Linked DNA regions of Nothobranchius furzeri. The protein of the gene in region 2 binds, or shares a complex with, the protein of the main gene of each other region. Links are inferred from orthologs where the notes say so. Each region holds a gene or a part of one and is shown on either strand. Other genes may lie near its edges. The genes, in order: tcf25 and ribosome quality control complex subunit NEMF.

What was found.
Region 1: ribosome quality control complex subunit NEMF (region 2) and tcf25 share a complex: the UniProt entries of both Homo sapiens proteins name them as parts of the ribosome quality control complex. The link is inferred for Nothobranchius furzeri from reciprocal best matches to the Homo sapiens genes NEMF and TCF25.

What each region holds. Positions count from the first base shown.
Region 1 is NC_091749.1:57,576,188-57,584,256, reverse strand, and holds part of tcf25 (ribosome quality control complex subunit TCF25), read left to right. Parts: intron 1-1,050; coding exon 1,051-1,156; intron 1,157-1,237; coding exon 1,238-1,397; intron 1,398-1,483; coding exon 1,484-1,571; intron 1,572-1,787; coding exon 1,788-1,946; intron 1,947-2,033; coding exon 2,034-2,124; intron 2,125-3,565; coding exon 3,566-3,645; intron 3,646-3,756; coding exon 3,757-3,832; intron 3,833-8,069. UniProt on the Homo sapiens protein: Component of the ribosome quality control complex (RQC), a ribosome-associated complex that mediates ubiquitination and extraction of incompletely synthesized nascent chains for proteasomal degradation.
Region 2 is NC_091758.1:27,045,267-27,053,775, forward strand, and holds the start of ribosome quality control complex subunit NEMF, read right to left. Parts: upstream 5,997-8,509; 5' UTR 5,865-5,996; coding exon 5,806-5,864; intron 5,714-5,805; coding exon 5,645-5,713; coding exon of another isoform or gene 5,632-5,644; intron 5,215-5,631; coding exon 5,112-5,214; intron 4,984-5,111; coding exon 4,858-4,983; intron 4,761-4,857; coding exon 4,612-4,760; intron 4,506-4,611; coding exon 4,438-4,505; intron 3,682-4,437; coding exon 3,592-3,681; intron 3,503-3,591; coding exon 3,429-3,502; intron 3,351-3,428; coding exon 3,280-3,350; intron 2,835-3,279; coding exon 2,759-2,834; intron 2,677-2,758; coding exon 2,536-2,676; intron 2,458-2,535; coding exon 2,249-2,457; intron 2,176-2,248; coding exon 2,002-2,175; intron 1,922-2,001; coding exon 1,858-1,921; intron 1,776-1,857; coding exon 1,687-1,775; intron 1,588-1,686; coding exon 1,484-1,587; intron 888-1,483; coding exon 825-887; intron 747-824; coding exon 634-746; intron 554-633; coding exon 496-553; and 4 more. Other genes in the region: MAPK/MAK/MRK overlapping kinase, read left to right, coding at 6,186-6,351, 7,688-7,802, 8,066-8,155, 8,232-8,302, 8,373-8,500. UniProt on the Homo sapiens protein: Key component of the ribosome quality control complex (RQC), a ribosome-associated complex that mediates the extraction of incompletely synthesized nascent chains from stalled ribosomes as well as their ubiquitin-mediated proteasomal degradation.

The DNA.
Region 1 (8,069 bases), on a different chromosome or scaffold from region 2:
AAAAAAGATCCGTTTTTGTGTGAAAAAACTCCGTTTCCGTGTGGATGACAGGCCAAAACGTAGAAAAATATCTACGTTTTGGCAGATCCCCGGCTACGTGTGGACAGGACCTAGAAGAGAGAAAGTTACTTTCATTTACCTGAATAAAATCAAAATTTAAGAATCGTGCAACATTCTTTCAGAAAAGGTCGTTTAGCTAGCAGGAAAAAATGTAGGAAAGAACATCTGCTGATTTATTGACTTCTTTATTTATTTAAGAAAATTTGATGACTTATGAAAGTTAAATGTAGGATTTGAAGCACGTTTCTGCCATCAATTACTTCAGCTTCTGAGCATTTTAAGGTTTAAAGGAGTGGTTCACTCATTTGATAATACACTTGCAGTGATTTCTTATAGGAATGAATGCCTTGTAAAGCCTAATTTATACATCTTCCATCAGCTCCACAAGGGAGAGACACTCCTGCACTGATAGACATTTTACCTTCGGACTTCTCCATCTCCTGAGGAGTGTTGCAAAGCAATTCCCCGCCAGGACAACAGGGCATAGCACTGTTCTGTGGTACCCTGTCATGTGTCCGGTCCAAGATAGTGTGTTTATTATTGTGTTTATATTGTGTTTTTTGTGTTTTAAGAGCCTTTTTAACACATACAATGTTGTCCCTCCTCCTCCACCACCTCTTCATGCACTCGCCACCTCTAAACCCACCTTTCCCATCGTTTCCGTCCACGAATAAAACGCTTGCTGTGTATCTTTTCACTCCTCAAGTCACGGGTGAATAAAACGTTAATATATTTAGAGTTTTTTCACGAGGTATTCTTCAAGCTTCTCTGCGTCTGCTGCTAGATATCTTCAGCTTTCTTTGTCTTTGAGGTGGCAGTGGTGTCCTGACCAATCACAAGCTTGCGTTATCCGTCTCGTTGGACGTATATTTATATATATATATACTCTTACTTTCTTTGTGTGTGTGTGTGTGTGTGCGTGTGTGCGTGTGTGTGTGTGTGTGTGTGTGTGTGTGTGTGTGTGTGTGTGTGTGTGTGTGTGTGAGACAGTTTGGATCCAGACTTGGACCCCCTTTGCATGCTCCTCCTGGTTGATTTCCTAATGCTGCGCTCCAGAGAGTACAAGTCTCTCCTTCAGTTATATCAGGACTGGGAGGTAAGCCATGCAGCAGTTAATGTCCCGTTTCACTGTTACCCCTCTAATCTGACGCAGAAATGATTTCTTGTCACTTTTCAGGAGCACAGAAATCTCTCTCAGCTGCCGAACTTTGCGTTCTCCTGTGCACTTTGTCGTTTCCACCTCAGCCAGCAGGAGGATTTGGATCCTAAAGAAGCTGAAAATCAGAAAAAACTAGCTGACCAGATGCTCCAGAGTGCTCTTATTATGTTCCCTGGAGGTTAGACCTGACCCTCAGTGGTTAGTTGTTTCTTTACAGGTATTTTAATTCTGGACCTTATTCATCTTTTAATGTGCTTCCTTCAGTCTTGATGCCTTTACTGGATCTGTGCACGGTGCAGCCAGATGCCACCGTCACCTCCCACTGCTTCTTTGGCCCAAAGAGTCAGATAGGGTGAGCCTCCTTTTCCTCAACTGTTAATATGTTCAGCACACTGTAATTTTGCTTTTTACACTGCATAACCATAACAAATCTAATATAAAACAACAGATAATAATTTCATGACTTATTTTAGTAGTTTTAGATTTGTTTCACTTTTTTTGTTGTTTCGTAATGTTTTCTCTGTCTGCACCGGTGTAAAGTTCACCCCCTCCCCCCGTTTGTCTCCAGGCAGCCGCCGGCTCTGGCTGAACTGACAGCGCTGTACGTAGGGAGAACGTACGCTCTGTGGAAGGAGGCAGCCATAATGCTCTGGTTAGAGGAGTCTGTCAAGGAGGTGCTGCGTAGAGTTGACTCCAAAGACTCCTTTGTGGAAGAATGCGAAAACAAGTATAATCTCCACTTTATACACCTTTGCTGTAACTAGAACTTCTCCACATAGAGCGACGACTCTCAAGGTCCATTCCTTTGTTGCAGGAGAAAACAGAGGTACCAGAGCGCACCGAGAAACATCCATCGCCACGTCCTCCTCTCTGAGATCAAAGAGGCCACCTCCACCCTGCCCCTTGTAAGACATCACCAGCACATGCTCTGTTTTTGTGCTGTTATGGTATTTTTGAAAATAGGTGGAAATTAATATTTTGATTTCACAGATCGGTCACATCTTATTTATTGACTTACCCCAAAATTCCACTATCTCCGCTCGCTCCGGCACGAACTCCGCAGCAAAAACGGTCCCGTTGTAGTCAATCAGTGCTGTTCCACTACTGCGGCCGTGTGGCGCAATGCGCCGCCTGCCGTTCCTCCATCCGGCAAAAATAGGATCGATTCTATCTGATCACAACCGCCCAACAGGAAAGGGAGCAAGCAAGTACAGCTTCCGCTATTTCACAATAAATCGATAACAAAAAGCGTTTTTTTGTTTCATATGCACAGGTTTAACAACTTTTAACAACTATCAATGGCGGTTGAACTTTAAATGCACAAAAATAAGCCATAAATACAGTTTCCACTATCAAAATAGTCACACTTTGTTGATCCAAACACTGCTGATCTCTCAACACAAATGATGGGCAGATTAAACAGTTCATTTCGATGCTTCTCCCACACAACGGGTGTTTGGATCTGACTTCCGCATTTATTGCTCGGACTGTATCACAAGATCTCGAAAATCCCGCGCATGCCTGTTTGCGCACCTCAGGTCTCCGCACCGGAGCGGAGCCGTTGTAGAGCGGGTACAGTATAATTTGAGTTCGGAAGCGAGCGGCAGCGGAAAGCGGGGGCGGAGCGGAGATAGTGGAATTTTGGGGTAACACTTTGCTTGATTAGCTTATTAAAATAGAGTTCTTTGATTAATTAAAAGAAAAGAGTCTATTCTTCATTCTTCTGTTGAGCTCAAAAGAAGCGGATTAGAAGCCAATGCATGAGACCTTGAGACCATATCTCATGCAGACTAGTCCTGTGTCAGAGGAGGGGGAAAACAGTCATTTCATTCTGTTACACTTATAATTTGTGACGTGCAGAATACTAGTAAACAACAACAAAGATAACAAGGTACCGGGGGGGGGTGTTAAATGTGAGCAATTCTGAAAGATAGGCAGTCAGCTTGTAAAGGGGTGTGACAACAAAAGGCAAAATCTTAAACCAAACCCAGTAAAAAGCACAGGAGCGATATGGGTGTCTGTGTTTGTCAGAAAATGTGCTGCCCCGTTGTGAGCTCTTTGAAGATGGTCTAGCAGAAACATGTTTACACCTCAGAAGTGAGATTACTTAGTCAAGTCTGAATGTAATGGTTTTATCAAAGAACACAATCATAGCAGATTCCAAATGAGATCTTTAGGGAATGTGTTAAGCCGAGTTATGCAGATCTTCTCTTTTTGCACTTTTCAAAGATGTTTTCTTTATTAATTATTTATTCATTTTATTATTTTTGTCAAATTAACTCATATTTACTAGTCAAGATGCCTCGTTTGCAAGTGATGTCAAATGTTTGGTTGTATCTCTTTCAGGACGTGACCGCTCAGCCTGTGATGGGGTTTGATCTCCTTCCTCCTCTGGACTCGGTGATCTCATACACCAGACCAGAGAGGTAATGGGAATACCAATAAAATCCACTTTTTACAGCACTAACATGCCTTTTAATTGTCTGCTTTTAAAGTACTTTGAAAACAGTTTCTCTGTGTTTTTATGTCTTATCCAGGCAGCATGTTGGAGCATCCAATGAAAGCACACTGTCACTGTTTTTCCGTTCTTTACTTCCGAACTTCAACCTTCAGGTGAGTTGAGAAAATTAGATTAGTGTGGGTTCGCAATGTAACAGGTTTGCTGATTGTGGTTTAAGTGAATCAAAGAAAAAAATACACATTTAAATAAAAACAACCTAAAAGTGAGTTCAAACCATTGGTTAAAACCAGTAAACGGGTTACGTTTGGACTCTTCCATGCTGTTGTATTTGAAGATGGCCGCATAGACATTGAATAACTGAAAGCACTAATTAAGAACCCATGCCGTGCATGTGAAGACTCCATGTGATCAGCAGCTGTAAGCCCTACAGACACAAGCCGTTTGTTTAGTAACAAATTTTGTTACATCGTGCCGAGTTTGATCACTGCATTCAGAATGAACTTACTGCTCTAAGGGATTTTAAGCGATTCAGTCCTAAAACCTCCATTTGGTGCTGAGATTTCCTGCAACTTGAGGGTTTTACTGTACATTTCCTGAAGCGTTTGACTCAAAGGAGAGGCTTAGCTTCCTGATCTGACCTCAGATTGCCGAGCAGGACCTACACCTATACAAGACTAATCAGAACACGTGCTTCTTAGTTTTCTGATTAATTGGTTTATGTGCATCATTGAGTTTTGTTTATGCATATGTGCAGCAGAGCAGACCATCCTCTTCATCATGTGTGCAGCTCAGTGGTCTCTTAATTTCTTATTTAAAGTTTACCTCCAAAAAAGTGTTCAGTCACTGCACCCTGCGGGGCCTTTTGGCAGCATCTGAGAAAATCCCTTAACAAACATGTCCTTGACTGATGGAACATTTCCTCCGAAGGGCTCATGCTTTCCCTCGAGGGACAACAACTTAAAAGTATCCAAGGAGGCATATAAAGTTTTTAGCCTTGTTTTTAATGGGTCATCTTGTAGGAATCAAGTCGGTGGGTTTATTTTACACATAAAAATTGGAAGGAAAATTATTGAATGTGGAGTTTTAGCAGATTTTTTAATGTAGAAATAATAAAGAAAATAACCGTTTTCTCAGTTTTTCCCCTTTAAAACCCGATGGTTTTGCTCTTAATCCTCGTCGACTAAAACAGTGACATCAAGAGAAAATCTAACAGGTGATAATGATAACTGTACACATCTTTCTGTGGATCAACCTGTATTTAAAGATTAATTTAGTCTAATATCATTTGAAAACAAGTAATTTTGATTCGATGGAGGAAAAAATGGATTCAGATATATAGTTTGAACCCGGATGGGTTCAATCAGTTTGACTGAAGCAAAAACGTCATTTCTCCTCTCAGCTAAGTCATAAGCTGTTTTTAGTCATGTTTAGACACATTTAGTTCAGAATACTGGACAAAACAGTACAGCTTCAATCTGACAACAGAAACCATCAACTGGTAGAGCTGTGTGTTGTTTAACCCTCCCACTGTCCTAATGGGTGTGACCCCGCGAGGAAAGTTTACCATTGAGGTGGTGCTCCTCACCCCTGCCACATGTCACCCCTGCCACATGTCACCCCTGCCACGTGGACCTCAAGGGATAAACCATCAACCCTGCTCAATGGTCAACTTTCCTCATGGGGTCACACCCATTAGGACAGTGGGAGGGTTAAACGTTTGTACTTTTAGAAATAGACGGATATTGAAAACATTTATTGGCTGTACTATATCAAAACTATCTGGATGAAAATGTTGTGGTTAGTGTGTGTTGGAGGCTTTTAAACAGGCTTCCAATGAAGACAGTTGTTAACTGTGGTGCACAAACAGTTGATTTACACCGTGGACTTTTCTGTTTTTTATCTACAGTTAACTGTAATTTTATTTCAACCACAGAGACAGTTTTTTCATTTTTATTATCCGACCATAATTTGATCATAAATGCTGCTGTTAAGTCTGAAACCTAAATTGTTTAACTGTCTGAAATTCTTAGTTTAAATTTCTTGTTTACTGAGAAATACGATCTGTCCCTCAGAGTTACACAAGTACAGTGGGATGCGAAGGTTTGGGCAGCCTTGTTAATCTTCATGATTTTCTTTTATAAATTGTTGGTTGTTAAATATTGTTGCTGTTAAATATGTCATATAGGAGAAACACACACAGTGATATTTGAGAAGTGAAACAAAGTTTATAGGATTAACAGAAATTGTGCAATAATTGTTGAAACAAAATTAGACAGGTGCATAAAAAAGAAATTAACTCAGCATTTAGTTGATCCATCTGTTGCAGGAATAACAGCCTCTAAGCACTTCCTGTAGCTTCCAATGAGAGTCTGGACTCTGGTTGAAAGTATTTTGGACCATACTTCTCTACAAAACATCCTTAGTTCATTCAGGTTTGATGGCTTCACAGATTTTCAATAATATTCAGTTCTGGGGACTGAGATGGCCATTCCAGAGCGTTGTACTTGTTCCCCTTCATGAATGCCTCATCAGATTCTGAGCAGTGTTTAGGGTTGTTGTCTTGTTGAAAGATCCCGCCCCGGTGCAGCTTCAGCTTTGGCTCTGATTCCTGGACATTGGTCTCCAGAATCTGCTGATATTGAGTGGAATCCATGCGTCTCTCAACTTTAACAAGATTCCCAGGCCCTGCACTGGCCGCATAGCCCCACAGCATGATGAAACCACCGCCATGTTTTACTGTAGGTAGCAGGTGTTTTTTTTCCTGGAATGCTGTGTTCTTGTTCCTCCATGCATAACACTCCTTGTTCTGCCCAAATAACTCAGTTTTAGTTTCATCAGTCCGCAGCACCTTATTCCAACGTAAAGCTGGCTTGCACAAATGTGCTTCAGCATACCTCAAGCAGCTTTGTTGGCGCTGTGGGTGGAGAAAAGGCTTCCGCTGTATCACTCTCGCATACAGCATCTTCTTGTGTAAAGTGCACTGAGTAGTTGAACAATGCACAGTGGCTCCATCTGCAGCAAGATGATGTTGTAGGTGATTGGTGCTGGTCTGTGGGTTGACTCTGGCTGTTCTCACCATTCTTCACTTCTGTTTATCTGAGATTTTTCTTGGTCTGCCACTTGGAGCCTTAACTTGAACTGAGCCTGTGGTCTTCCATTTCCTCAGTATGTTCCAAACTGGAACAGACAGCTGAAATCTCTGAGACAGCTTTCTGTAACCTTGCCTTAAACCATGTTTGTGAACAATCTTTGTTTTCAGCTCATGTGAGAGTTGTTTTGAGACCCCCATGCTACTCTAGAGAATATTCAGAGAGGAGGGAAACTTACAATTGGCCGATTGTGCTATACATTTTCTTTGTAACAACCAACGATTTACACAATAGAACATAAAGGCTGCCCTAACTTTTGCGTCCTACTGTATGCTGAATGTGAACATTTATTTTCAACCCCCGTGGCCCGCTTTAACTGCAGAAAGAAAATAGATGAAAAACAATCGATTCAGAAAGTCACAGGGATAATTGGCATTCATGGCCTCACCCACCTTGGTTTGCAACTGCGTCTGAGCTAGTAGAAGCTAACCGTTGGCAACTTCATGGCAGAAGATGTTCTGGCTGATGTAATTCGTGGAGATAACATTTCAGCATTGAATTTAATAAACAAAAAAAAAGGCGAACAAGAGCAGAAGAAAAGTCACGTTACTGCTCGCCAATCAGAAGCAAGCGAGTATTAATGAATAAGACTATCTCTTGCATTAGCTTCTGATAGAAAATGGACGGTGAAGCTCTAGGATTTGAAAAGCCTGACAGATCTACGTCACATCGTCGCTTAACATTCATGGACTCACCCATCTTGACTTGGGACGGGGAAGACTGTTGGTTAAGCATCAGCCCGGTGACTGATCTCTTGTTTCAAGCGGTTCGAATTCCAACCAAAAATGGACATCATTTGCACAGAAATAAGAGGAACTATTTTGTCACAGTGAAGTTAGATGTACGTTGGATATTCGTCAGAGGTTCACCACGGTCAGTGATGGGTTTTGATGCTGTGCCAGAGACGACAGTCAGCTGTGTTCCGAGGACTCGTTCATGAAAGCGGTGGTTTACTTAAAGACCATCAACAAATTTCTAGTCATTTGAAAATGGATTTAAAAAAAATGAAAACTTTCAGCTTCATAGATTGAATGACTAAATCAATTGCCAATAGTGTTACTAGGCTAGACCAACGAGACACAACAGTTTTTAACATATTTCATACAATCTAATCTGTTTTATTAAGATTTTGATAAACAATTAAATGATCTTATTAGTGATGCACCGATAATGACATTTTTGGGCTGATACCTGATATTAATATCACTGTTATGGCTGATAACCGATATTTGCCAATGCT
Region 2 (8,509 bases):
CCTCTCCCTCCTCCAACAGCTCAGACGTTCTGGATGTGACCTCCTCCATGTCTTCTTCTACCGTTTTTACCTTTCGTTCCCCTCTGTGACGAAACACACACTGCTCGTCCACCTGTAGGAGGCGCAAGGAGCGGTAGCTACTAACAGTCTGAAAGTGATGAAATGTTTTCTAAACTTTACCTTGAAGAGGAAACCAAAACCCATGATCAGGTAGGACGGAGGGAGGAAATTTTTCTTCCCTGGAGAAAGAAGAGATTAAGCTTTTTTATTGAAAGAAAGAAAGAAAGAAAGAAAGAAAGAAAGAAAGAAAGAAAGAAAGAAAGAAAGAAAGAAAGAAAGAGAGGAAGGAAGGAAGGAAGGAAGAAAGAAAGAAAGAAAGAAAGAAAGAAAGAAAGAAAGAAAGAAAGAAAGAAAGGAAGGAATGAGGAAAGGAAGGAAGGAAGGAAGGAAGGAAGGAAGGAAGGACGTACATAATTTTTATTTTTTGCGACAAACCTCTGATCATGAAACTTCCGGTGGTTAGATACTCTCCAGTTGGAGCCGTTTTAGACACCTGGAAACGAACAAAAGCTGAAATTCCCACTGCTCAGAGCCAGATATTAAACTCCACGTCTGCTTTCACAGGTGACCAACCTGATGATGATGGACCCACCAAGCACTGGTGATGATCTTGGCATCCCACGCAGCGCTGTAACACACAGCCATGGTGCCAGCTTCTGTCAGGGTCCGAGGGGGGATGGGGTCGCCTGGGACGAAGACAAAAGAGATTTGAATATAAAAATATAGAAATAAAACACAATATAGCAAAAGAAGCTTATGTTTACCTGAAGGGTTTTTGATGACACAACTAGTTGCTCCATGGAGGTCAGCGTGAACATAAAGGTCACCTGACAAGATCGAAAGTGATCGATGATTCGCTTCTTCTGATTCACGCTGAACTTCTTTTACCAAAAACAATTTCTGATTCTGCTACTTTACTTTTAAGAGCGGCTTGAAACAAACAAAGTGAAACAAGTTAACGCATCTTTCTCATTATTTTTCATGATATGTGAACATCTGGCCTCTGATTGGCTAACAGCAACACAACCCTTCCACTGCCTTCGTCTGCTGATGCTTTATCTCAAAACACATAACACAAGCCTGAACGTGTTCCTCCGTGTTGTAGGGTTGCTAATGCTAACAGTTAGCTTCCACTAGCCGAGATGTGCTCCGTTCCTTCCTGGTCGCCAAATCAACAACAACAGCCTTCAGCGGTCCCAGGCCAAGCTGGGCGAGGCCGTGAATGCTAACTTTTCTTGTGACGTAGAGGAGAGCGGCTTTTTCTGATGTGACCGTTTTCCCATCTACCTCATTTCTGCTAATGCAGATGATGGCAGCAGACGAGATTTTTCACATTCAGCGTGTATATGTAACTCAGACTGAGTAATCAGATTTCAAAAAGAACATGTATTATATGAGTCCTTTAGAGGGACAGTTTCCCCACCTGCCCGGAGGTAGCGTTTAACAATCATCTCGTTCTGCTGCTGATCCCTTCCTGCGATGACGAGATAGTTCTCGGAGCTGATGAACCACAGGAACTTCTCAAACCTGTCAGACGGGAGGACAAGATGACCGCAGACAGTCTGGAGCCACAAACGCTTCAATTAAACTTGGAACGGACTCAGGATCCTTTGGCGAGGGCCTTACCAGTACACCTTTCTGGCTTTCTGAATAGTGGTGACGGTCTGGACCTCCTTCAGTGTCTGATGTGTTTTTTTCTCAGCTGATTTCATAGCCTTAGATGAAAAATAAAACATTAATTCTAAATCAATGCATGACAAATTATTTGTTATACATAAAGTAAAATAGCTTGTCCACCTTGTCTGCTGCCTCAATGGTTTTCTGTTCCTTTTTTTCTGCAGTGCGTTTGTGGTCATAGTACCTAAAAGCAACACGACGACAGACTGTCATCTGTAGGCTTTCTATGTGTTTGTGCATCTAAAACTTTAAATGCAAACCCACTTTTTAGCGTTGGCATAAGCTGACAAGCCCAGATCCAAATCCACCAACATGGGCTTGTTCCTCTGCAGCTTCCTGCTCTGCCCTTTCTCTTTAGTCTTGTTTTTCTTCCCTTTCTCATCGATGGAACCTTTTTTCTCTTCCTCTTCGTGGTCCTCCTCAGAAATGTATGGATTTCTGCACACAGAGCGGCGTCGATTATTACCACCGGGATTCTCCGGCAGGTTTATCACCTGGACGGTGATCTCACGTTAAAAGCATGGTGATGTGGTTGGTCTGCAGCTTCAGCTCCTTGATGACGCAGGCCACGGGGTCCCCAGCAGCTTGTGCTTCCTTAACAATAGTGCCGATTTCAGTCCAGTCCACCTGGTTGGCTAACGCGCTGCACACCACCTGCAGAGCCCTCTCCACCACAGGCAGATTCATCTCCACCAGCTCCCCTTTTATTCTGTCCACCTCCTGCAAACACAGAGAATAAAGCTTTTAATTCTGCAACAGATCAGGTGAATCTGAAATGAAAATCTGCTTGCTGCCGACCTGTGATTGGTGCAACGCCTCCAGCCTCTGCTCGTGGTCCCTCTTAACATTCTCCAGCTTCTTCAGTGCATGTTTCTCCTGCTGCAAGGCCTTCATGTCAATCTTCTGGCTCTCCATCTTTGAAAAGAACTCATCCACTGCCTGTTTAAAAATATTTTTAAACCATTATTCTTGCCAACAGGTTTTCTTTAGATGCATAAGCAACAGCTGTGCTAATATTCACCTTGTTAAAGTTTTCAAACTCCATATAGGGGCTCTTTGCATGCTGAGAGAAGAGAAACGGGTGGAATTCATCGTATCTGCAGGAAGACATTAACGAGAAAATTAATAACCTCGTTAGGAACAATCAGCTGGAGGATTGTCCTTTGCCCAGGGATACCAGGCAGTTTTTAGCACCCTCTAGTGTTCTGTTAATGAAAGCAAAAGTGAAGCTTATCTCTTTGCTGTTGCGTTTGTCTTTTTAACACCCTAATCTAACAGCTGAAATGTCTCCTCAGCCTTCATCAGTGTCTACAGGAGTGATTCATCACTAAATTAAACAAATCCGCTGTGTTCATGATCTAAAACATGCAGGAAACGCGCTGGAAGCAGACTGCAGCGCCACTCTCAAGTTGCAAGTGCGATATTCTGGACACAGAGGGCGGCGGGGTCTGGGTGACATTTCATTAACCTTGTAAAGCATCATTTTAGTACATACTGGCTCAAGAATATGAATTTGCATAGTATGCCTTTAACGAGACGTACGTCAGGAGATCTTCACCGGGTTTGCCCGGAGTCAAACTTGGTTTCTTCTCACTCTTCTGGATGATGTAACCCTTAAAATAAATAACATTTAAAGTATAGTAAAAAAAATTACAGTTTACTTCAATACTTATAAAAGATGTTTTACTGACTTTGCCGCTGAATCTTTCCGTTATTTCCATGTAGGTTTCTGCCATCTGCAAGGCTTTCAGGATTTCACAGGCAACTGAGGAGAAAAAAACAAAGGTCCTGTTAGTGCATTCATGTTAAAAGAATAAAATATTAATAATAATAAAATCGACGTCCATATTTTACCTTCAGCAACATCAGCTTGGCTGTCGACTTTGAGCGAACCCGGCAGTCCTGCTTCTATAAGACTGTGTTCGATCAGAGTGGCTCCGTAAGCTGAACGGGTTTATGAGAAGTTTAATGATTAAAAAATGAATAAATAAACTGAAAATCATCATTAGGCTTTCTTGAAGCAACGTGTTAAGAATTAATAAGAAAATGCTTATTTGGACAAGAAACAGGCTTTTTATTTGGAGTTAAAAACGAGGAGGAATTTAGAACAATTTCTTTGAACCAGACTTGTGAATTTAGATCAATCTTATTTAATGATATTTTGAAACAATTCTGTGATCTTGTCTGTATTTGCTGCCATGACTTCTCTCTGAAAACACAGTTTGATGCATGTTTTGTCCTAAGAAACAGTAAAATCTCTGTGGCTTTGGTTCCCAAACACACTCGAGCAGCCATGTTTTACCGCTAGGATCAGATTTTTCTGTTGCAAAGTGTAATATCTGATCTCATTTATAAAACGTTGCATGTCTAAGCTGAGAAAACTTAGTAAAAATTAAGATCCAGACTATTTTTTTCCAAACCCGAGACTAACTTACATGATGTGAATCATACATTTTAGTAACTTTAGAGCAGTTTCCGTAACTTCCCGTTATAACTGGACTCTCCCTCTCTCTTATCCATCAGGATTGCACATCATGGATTAATGCTTTAAGAGCTTCCCAGTCCAGTGAAAATGGCTGTGATTGAAGAATGACCTACAATAAATAATCTCTCTGTTTTTACAGGAATGAAGATTTCTAAAATCTACAATATTATCTGTTCAAATAAACAATCACAGTGTTTGTGTGTCCAGCGACTTACGCAGATGAGGGTTCAGGACTCGTTTCACTTGCTCTCCATTTGGTGCTTTGCTCAGGATGTCAGTGAGTCTTTAAAGAGAACAATAACACTATGTTTGTGCTGCAGACTAATGTAATAAAGGCTAACTGAACACTGATGTATGTCCTCTCTATCTATATCAAATAAATGGTTTACTTCTCAAGACTGATGAGGGGCTCCGGTGGTCTGGCGCTCTCCACTGGGTACCTCTCCCTCACGGCAATCTTAACATCTTCTGCTTCTGCGGTTCGGAACCTCAACAGATTCAGGATTGTGTACTCGTGATCTGCAAGGATGATGTTACCCTGAAAGTAAAGATGAGGAAACAAAACATAAATGTGTATTAATCAGGATAAATGTGACCTGGAACAGTTCCAAATGCATTGGATGATGTTTTCTGACCCTGTCGTAAAGTTCAATGATCAAGTGGTAGGCAGCCTCATCCGAACCAAACTGGATGTCCACGATTCTGTCGATCCCAAGCTGCTTAACCTGGGTAAGCCGGCGGGTCTTTAGATGTTTTCTGCACTGTGGATAAAAATCAAGTTAAGTGCTATCAAAACATATAAATATTCACAGAGCAATCAGCATTTTTGAAGCAGGGTATAATAATGAAAAAACATCACGATCTTTAACAATTACATGGATCTTCTTACTTTCATAGCAAAGCCTGAAGGCATCATGTTCTTGGGCCATTCAAAGTCTGTGGAGTGGATGCGAGTGCCAGACTCAATCAGGAGAACAGCTTTGCTGTCCGGTCTGAAACAGAAACACAACTGTAACACATACAAGTGAAGGTCTGTGTAAAATAATAATAATTATTATTATTATTCATCCTAGTCTGGGAGAAGACAGACTTCATTCACATACTTTACTTTTCATCATACACGTTACAGAATCTTCTGTATATGTGACAACTAACAGTAACATTTCTGTGTAGTTTTGTTGTTTCCAGCTAAAAAAAAAACTCCCATTATTCCCCGTTTAAAACCGATAAATTCAAGATCTAACTTTATTAACAAAGTGATTTATTTACATGTATACGTCAAAACAGTGATCTATTCTAGCAGTAATCATTGAATCACTTAAATCTTTATGCTTCTAATATTACGCATGTATGTTTCTATTAGCAAGAGCTTTATGACTTAAGCTAGCATAAATAGTAGCACTCAGAACCTTATGTTCTTACTTCTGCAGACGGATGAGATACGTCTTAGTGTCGATGTCATACACGTTGTTTACCCTCATGCCAATGTAACTGTGAAATGAGGAGGTGAAATAAATGAATGTGAATAAAAATAGACAGTAACATTTAGTGGGCTAATGCTAGCTTAGCCTAACAACACATACTTGGCATTGATTTCGGCAATAACTGCCCGGATATCCACCGTGGTGAATCGGGTTTTCATGGTGAATCAAATCCAGAATAATGGTGATTTAAAAACAACCCCTTCGTGTATACTTCACATCCCAAGAGCAACAAGAAAATTAATACATTCAGCAACACTGAAAGTGCACACGTTCTGCTTTCTTACGGAAGCCGGTTGGGGTCAAAATAGAGAAGGTCCACGCCTTTTGCATAGACTGGCAGCCGCTTTGAGATGCTCTTGTGTCTGGTAACGGAACCGTAATATTATGAATGTAGAGAATCTGCTGTTTCTCTCCTGCGAGAATTGCCTTTTTTAAGCCATTAAACGCATGGTCAGCTCTTTCACAATTAATGTGCACCAATGCTGCACTACTCAAACTGGCTTATTGACGTTAAGAATAGAGCAAGCTTAAGAAATGCAAGCAAAACGAGCTCTAGCACAGACTGGAATAATAGGGGAAATGCTGCGGGAATGCAGAACAAAAACCCGCAGCCAAAAGAGAAAACGGCGCACCTCTGGAAAAAAGGTAAGGATGGAGTTTTTTTTTTTTTTGTCTTTTTTTCGGGGCCTGATTGTTGAATAAATCGGCTTGACTGGTCGTTGTCAAAAAATTGGGGCTTATTATATGTTTATATTCTGATATTTTTTTAATCGAAGGGCCAGGCTGAGGTTGGTTCAGTCTGAGTTCCTCCTCAGGTCAGAGTGGAGGGCGAAGGCGTGCACCGTTACCAAGGCGACGGTCAGCTGGGGCTAGGCTAGCACCAACAAGAGGGACTTCTGTGCCCTCGTTGCGTGGAAATGTTTCATTTTCTAGCTTATAATTAGCATGTACCACAAAGATACCTTTGGTCGTGATAATCAACCAAAATGCGGCGGCAAAATCCTAAAAGAATGAAAAGTAAGTGAGGAAAAAAGGTTTTATAGAGGGTTTCTCTACATGTGTGCTTGCTAGCAGCTATTGTTTTAACCTCTGGGGCTCATCAGAGGAACAACCATACACACACCTACACAATAAAATAGATGAAAATATCACTGGAATCATTGTTAAAAAAAATTACCTTTGCTTGTGGTGAAATTGCTGAAAGTAAGATAAATTAGATACACAATTTACCTAATCTGTCTTTCCTGTAAAATGAAAACATTAAAATAAAATCTGACAGGTAAAATCAGAAAAGTAACTTAAAAAAATAAAGAAGTATTAGACGTTCAAACCAAACATCTAGTAGCTAGAACAAAAATAGGAGTTTTTTATTATTATTTTTGATAGCTGTTTAGAAATTTTAAAATGACCCCAAATCTTTATTTAAAAACAAAACAAAATCCTAATGTCCAGATAGGAGTTTGCAGTTTCTGAAGCAAAAACGTTTCTCACATATTTATTTATTATTATTATTGATTACATTTAATGAATGTGTTGTGAGCTGCTGATGCATCCATCCATCCATCTTCTGAACCCGCTTGTCCGCGGGGGGGGGGGGGGGGTCTGGTGCCTATCTCCAGCGGTCAATGGGCAATCAGGTGGGGTACACCCTGGACAGGTTGCCAGTCCATCACAGGGCAACACAGAGACACACAGGACAAACAATCATGCACACACACATTCACACCTAGGGACAACTTAGACAGACCAATCAACCTAACAGTCATGTTTTTGGACTGTGGGAGGAAGCCAGAGTACCAGGAGAGAACCCACGCATGCACAGGGAGAACGTGCAAACTCCATGCAGAAGGATCCCAGGCCGGGAAGTGAACCCAGGAACCTTCTTGCTGCAAGGCAACAGCTCTAACCACTGCGCCACCGCGCAGCCCCAGCTGCTGATGCAATTATCATTAATTATTCCATTGTGTTTTTGTTGTTGCAGGTTACAAAGTAATTAAGAAAATTGGAGAGGGTACGTTTTCAGAGGTGCTGAAGACCCAGAGCCTGAAGGATGGGAAGTTTTATGCATGCAAAACTATGAAACAGAGAATTAACAGGTATGTTTGTCCCACATTGTGGTGCCATTTCCTATTCATTTCCAATAATTCTCTGTCATATATTGACTTGAAGTATATTAAATGTAAAACTTGCTTTGTTACAATTTGTCTGATGAACTAAAAGTTTGTCTTTTGTTGTTAACAATGTGTGTTAAAACTTTGCAACCATTTATTGTGGAATAGCACACCTTTCAGTTTTCTCATTCTGCTGTAACTTGTGTGAAGCAAATATGACTAAGCACAATCCCATTTTGTTCTTCTAGTCTGGAACAGGCCAACAACCTGCGTGAGGTCCAGGCGATGAGACGACTGAGTCCTCATGCAAACATCATCCAACTCCATGACCTGATTTTGTGAGCACTGCATTGTTTCTCATGCATTCTGACATCTTAAACTTGTTTGTATTTTAATAACCCAACAATGTTTCAGTGACAAAGAAAGCGGAACAGTGTCTTTAATATGCGAGCTGATGGAGATGAACATCTATGAGCACATTCAAGGTGAGAAAAGTGAAACTTGAAGATGTTGTTTATGTTTTGGGTTAAAAACAGCATGTAATGATGTTTGCAGGAAGACAAACACCCCTGCATGACCAGACAGTCAAAAACTACATGTACCAACTGTTAAAAGCGCTGGAACACATGCACAGCTGTGGGATCTTCCACAGAGACGTGAAACCTGAAAACATTCTCATAAAAGTGAGACAG